2 linked regions of the Yarrowia lipolytica genome follow. The main gene of each other region encodes a partner of the protein of the gene in region 2 in a complex. Links are inferred from orthologs where the notes say so. Each region holds a gene or a part of one and is shown on either strand. Other genes may lie near its edges. The genes, in order: YALI1_C00962g and YALI1_B18205g.

The links.
Region 1: YALI1_B18205g (region 2) and YALI1_C00962g share a complex: the UniProt entries of both Saccharomyces cerevisiae proteins name them as parts of the DASH complex. The link is inferred for Yarrowia lipolytica from reciprocal best matches to the Saccharomyces cerevisiae genes DAD1 and DAD4.

What each region holds. Positions count from the first base shown.
Region 1 is NC_090772.1:94,348-97,125, reverse strand, and holds YALI1_C00962g (uncharacterized protein), read right to left. Parts: upstream 859-2,778; coding exon 628-858; downstream 1-627. Other genes in the region: YALI1_C00958g (uncharacterized protein), read left to right, coding at 1,312-1,551. UniProt on the Saccharomyces cerevisiae protein: Component of the DASH complex that connects microtubules with kinetochores and couples microtubule depolymerisation to chromosome movement; it is involved in retrieving kinetochores to the spindle poles before their re-orientation on the spindle in early mitosis and allows microtubule depolymerization to pull chromosomes apart and resist detachment during anaphase.
Region 2 is NC_090771.1:1,819,566-1,822,566, forward strand, and holds YALI1_B18205g (uncharacterized protein), read right to left. Parts: upstream 986-3,001; coding exon 719-985; downstream 1-718. Other genes in the region: YALI1_B18190g (uncharacterized protein), read left to right, coding at 1-328; YALI1_B18207g (uncharacterized protein), read left to right, coding at 1,194-2,762. UniProt on the Saccharomyces cerevisiae protein: Component of the DASH complex that connects microtubules with kinetochores and couples microtubule depolymerisation to chromosome movement; it is involved in retrieving kinetochores to the spindle poles before their re-orientation on the spindle in early mitosis and allows microtubule depolymerization to pull chromosomes apart and resist detachment during anaphase.

The sequences.
Region 1 (2,778 bases), on a different chromosome or scaffold from region 2:
TGGCTTTATTAGACAATTTCAAATGATTCATAATAATAATGCCACCTAGACTAATGATATTCTGTATTCTCGTAGTTTCCTCGGACACAGTCGTGAATTCATAGTTGACAATTTACTTGGAATTTACAGTACAGTACTTTACAGTAGATTGTATAACTGTATCGAACTCGTGTGGGTAAAACATGTAGTGTAAGTACATACAGTAAAGCAAAGTACCTCTTGTCGCTAGAATATTACCTTGCAATGCTGGTAATATATGTTATTGTTACTGTACGAGTACAATGTCCTTCTTGGCCGTTCTTGGCCGTTCTTGTGCCGTTCTTGTGCCGTTCTTGGGCCGTTCTTGGGCCGTTCTTGTGCTGTTATTGTGCCGTTCTTGCGTTGATATGGTATGGTACTCCACATAATCACAACTGATGTCATTAGATCAATAAATATAAATACATATGCGGTAAAAGAATCACGTCGCAGAGAAAGTAGCCAGAACCGCATCTCACAGTCAACATACCACGTGACTGGGTTGCCCCGTAGCCGTCCGCAGTACTGTACCCGTACAGCACACAGCTCATATGTTTGCTGACTAAAGAAACAGCCGCAGCCATCCATACTGTCGGTCACGTAAACCTGCTAATCATCGTTCTTGAACGGCTCTTTCATGGCTCCACTTTCTCGCAAATAGTAATCCACCGAGGCCTGGTAGTTCTGCATGATTTCAGACACCACCGAGAGGTTAAGGTTGCGTGAATAGACCTCTTCCTGGATCTCGTTGACGCGTGCGATGGACGAGTTGAGCTTGGAAACGCCAGAAATGATGCGCGCAAGAGCGTCGGACTGGTCCTTTTCGTGGGGATTTTCCATTGTTGTGTTGAGTCGCGTTGTTAGTGTGGTTTCGTCATGTTGTGCACCGTCTGCTTAGAGTTTGAAAGTGTGTGGCATTAAGGTTTTAGGTCACGTGATCTAGAAGTGGACGGTAATAGTCAAAAGAGAGCTGTAGAGTGAGTAGCTACTCAAATTGATTTGTTCAACATATATGGGAATTAAAATGATCTCTAAAGCAAATATGGGTACTTTTATTAACATTAGTATCTCTTTTTGGGGTGATTTTCGGTTGTTTCAATGTATGTCTTCTTGTAGAGATGCAACTGATATTTTAAAAGTACCAGGTCGTACCTTGGGGATTTCTCCTTCATATTATCTACTCATAGTTCCATTATCTCCCTTCTTGTAGCCCATCGGTAACATCTACAAATATCTTCTTCACCTTCCAATAAAGTTAAGGTTCTGCGCACTGGGACAATTTTTTTTTGGTACATGAAAAATCTTGTCAAAGCTCTCCATCTCACCACAACACAACACCTCAAAATGCATCTTATGTACACTACTGGAAGCGACGGCAAGCGGGTCTATACTCTCAAGAAGACCACCGAGTCTGGCGAGATTACCAAGAGCGCCCACCCCGCCCGATTCTCTCCCGACGACAAGTACTCTCGACAGCGAGTCACTCTCAAGAAGCGATTCAACCTGTTGCCTACTCAGCAGGGTGAGTATTAAAAGTGATTTGGCGTTTGCCTGTCACGCGAGCGATCACGTGTGATCAGTGTGGTCACAAGTGATTAGCCGTGGTTTGATTAGGTGACGTGATACCGATGTTGGAGACTGTGGTCACACACAAGGGAATGTGACACCAACAGGATGGTGACAGAGAAGGAAGACTTGACACAATCAGGATGGTGAATCAGATGGGTGCACAGAGGAGTGATGGGATATGGTAGGCTGGAAGTAGGTTTGTTATGGTTCTCTTTGGAGTACCATGGACTCGACTTGACCCGACCTATCTTCCGACATCTCCGACCTTTGGGTATCTCTGTATCATGACTTATTCAGCGACTCTGGTTGTGTGACTGTGTTTTTTAATCTGACTCTGTTCTGTGCACCTGGGATCCCTTATGTTGAGGTGACTCCAGTTGGAACGTGCTTCTTTCTGTTGTGTTCTCTCATCTGGCGTTTACCGTGCCTCACCAACACTCGAAGCAACCACCAAACTCTCTCGTTTGACAAAACTAACCCAGCCGCCACCCCTTGGTAATTGGTATTTATTGATGAATGTATTATATCCATTTTAGATCACAAGAGGGTCCAGGGACCCATCGTGTACCGGATCGTCGCATGGTTTCTAAATTTGCGTACGTACTGAAGTCTTGTGGGATTGCCACTGTGCTGGCAGTCGCACTTGTTACACCTGTCAATACGATAATGTGTTACTCCTAGCAGTACATCATCAACGGTTATGACTCTCTACAGTATGGTAGGATGGGGGACGATTAATGTAGTCTGGTGTCCAGTGAATCTACATATGACTAATAATGGACCTAGCGAGCCCTCACCTTCATTTGTTGGAAGAATAGTAAACCAGAGGACTCATGAGAATGGCCGCAAAACATCCACAGCTTGAAGAAGATGGAAGACGAGAACTTCCTTGTCGAGGTAGAGACTACGCCGACAAAGACGACTGCTGTAGCCAACGGTTTGGCATTGAGAGACCGACCAGTAAGTCCCGGGATTTCTTTTGGAGCTGAGGCGACCGAATGGTGCTTCTTACTCCGTACCAGATCACATGGGCAATTCCCAGTAGAAGGACGCTTATGAGCATTGCTCTGGTGACTGTACTGAGCAGTTGTTCTCTGGTGTTGAACTTCAGGCCTCCAAACCTGTTGCAAAAGGTAGACTGAGGAGGGCAGTACTTGTAGATGGTACATAACATACTGTACCTGAGTTCAC
Region 2 (3,001 bases):
CACATCCGCCCATTATCTCAAAGCTCAGGGACTGAGCCACATCACGCCGACGCAGGGCAAATCCATGGCACAGAGACTCGGAGTGTACAAATACATGGAGTGCTCATCAAAGGACATGTCTGGCGTTAGAGAGGTGTTTGCAGTCGCCATGGGAGCGGTGCTGAAGGAAAAAGGGAGATCAAAGAGAACCAAACCTGTGCGATCACAAAGTAAAGGGGCAGCGGCAGCAGCAGCGTCAGCCACACGTCCAAAATTACAATCCAGACCAGCCTCGGAACCGATCGAGAAGAAGAAGAAGAAGAAACGACACCAGTGCTTGGTGTTGTAGAAAGCATCAACCACAGCTAACAAGGGGTGATATAGTAATGCATTATGATGAGAAGGATACAAGAGGGCGCGACGTCTGTGTAACGGCAATGAACGGTAGCAGCCGTATTATTATATGTACGAGTACATATAATGTAGGAGTTGTGTGGTAGCTCTACTTGTGCATACTGTGCCAGTGGCCCAGTTCATCTACGGAGGTACAAACTGTAGAGTAGAATTTTTAATCCTACAAGTAGATACTTGTACTATAGACCTAGATCACATAACTCGAAATCTGAAAACCGGCCATTTACTCATCTCAAAGCACTCATCAGTTCATTAGAATACATTTATAAATAATCGTCTGCAAGTCCATCAGGCCCTTACTCGTAACTCGCAACTCCAAATTACACTACTCTTTGGTAGTGTCTACCTCGATGTCTCCGTCCTCCGTCTTCACCAGATCCTCATTCACGGTGTTGTAAAAGTGGCTCCACATTTCTGCGAGCTCTTCAGACTTTTGAGACAGGCCCACAGTGTGTTCCAACGAACGGTTCAGCGCGTTCAGGTTGTTGAGCACGTCTTCCATGCTGGCCGAGATGTTTTTGATGTACTGGTCCCGTTGTCGCTCGAAATAAGACCGTTTGTCTTCCGTAGGAAACATGCTGACTCTGCTCATGTTTTTTTTACAGGGCTTCCAGAGGAACTTGAGTGTCGTTCAGGAATACTTGTAGTTGTGATAACGCGTTTCACGGTGTCTTTGCACTTCGAAGTCCACTGCATATCGGAACTCTAAGTGTTCGAAAAGATCATAACTCTAAATATTGCATCCTCCCTCAATTACTGTATCACCATCAAAAGGCTGAGCTCACCCCCACAACGACATAATGGGCCTGGCTGACGAAATTCTGGCCGATTTTGGCTCCAGCGACGAAGAAAATGAAGAGGTGGACGAGGTGATGGAAGATGCGACTTCCCAGATCCCAACTGAAGTCATTGCAACCGAAACCACAGAACCTCTGTCGCCTACTCCACTCAATAACATCAACCTGGACCTGCTGGGGTCCACCAACTCGGCAGCAATGGTCCCCAGACTTCTGCCACAACTCAGAAGCATTTCTCTGTACGAAAGTGGTGCCACTCAGTCAACTCTCGCACTCACATCAAATCTAGAAGAGAATCCAGAGTACCATGTGATTGTGGGAGCAAACGAGTACTCGGTGGAAATCGACAACGCAGTAGCTGAGCTGCACAACTTCATCGCCACTAGATACAGCCAGCGGTACCCCGAGCTCAGATCACTCATCGCCAACCCACTACAGCATGCACAGGTAGTGGCCATTCTTGGAAACGATCCCGCAGCAGTGGCAAAGTCAGATAGCCCGCACTTAAAACAGGTGGTGCACAAGTCAGTGATGATGACTATTACCATGACTGTGGACCAAGGGGGACGACGACTCTCGGACGTTGAGATGGCCACTATAAACGAAGCTTGTAAGCTACTGATAGCATTGGACGCTGCTAAGCGCCAAATCACTAACTATGTCTCCTCGAAACTGAACCTCGTTGCACCCAATACGGCCATTCTGATTGGTGCTCATTGTGCAGCTCAGATTCTTGGATTTGTGGGTGGTCTCAACGGTCTGGCAAAGACCCCCTCTTGCAACATACCTTCTCTAGGAGCTAAGCGAGAGACTGCGGTGGGGTTTGGACAAGCACAAAGACAGCAGGGTTACTTGTATTACTCGGATGTGGTACAACAGAGTCCTGCTGATATCAGAAAGCAGGCCATGCGAATGTTGTCAGCCAAGCTAGTACTTGCAGCCCGTTTGGATGCCTCTAGAGCATCTACAGATGGATCGTTCGGATCTAAAATGCGAGAGGAGATTGAAGGAAAGTTGCAGAAACTAGCAGAGCCCCCGGAGATAAAGGGAGTCAAGGCCCTACCTGTTCCTATCGACAAACCCTCAAAGAAGCGAGGTGGAAAGCGGATCAGAAAGTTCAAGGAGCAGTTCAAGCAGAGTGAAATGGCTGCTGCTGCCAACCGAATGGCGTTCGGAGAGGCCGAAAAGACTGTGGACGTTTACGGAGAGACCGTGGGTCTGGGAATGTTGGATTCTGCTGCTGGCCTGGGATCAGCTCGAAGAGTTGAAGCTGATTCCAAGACCCGTGCAAGAATGTCCAAGGGGGCTCGATCGCGTTTGGAGATGCTCAAGAACCGTCCCAAACCTATGATCGACGGTCTTCAGTCGTCTTTGTCTGTTACGGCGCAGTCTATGGAGCTTAGTAAACCCAAGGGACCCAAGACGGCCACCCAGGATAACAAATTCTTTGCCTCAGGCACGTTCACACAGCTGGAGAGGGGCAGCGGATTGCAACTAGGCCCTAAGCGAAAAGCTGACGAGCAGAAGGACCGTGGCACTACCAAGAAGTTGAAGGAGGGTGATGGAAACTGATACTGCTTCAGCATGTAACATAAATGATAATTTATTGACCCTACCTATAGCGTACGCGCGACTAATGATGTGCGACACATATACACGTACTCGAATATATGACTGTACCGTACGAATACATACTCGTACTTACAGCCGTTATCGACACATGCTATACGTGCATACTCGTCTGGTACAACAGCTTCTCTACGCAGACAGATCAGCATATTGGCAGCATTGCAGCGGTACGACAAAGAACG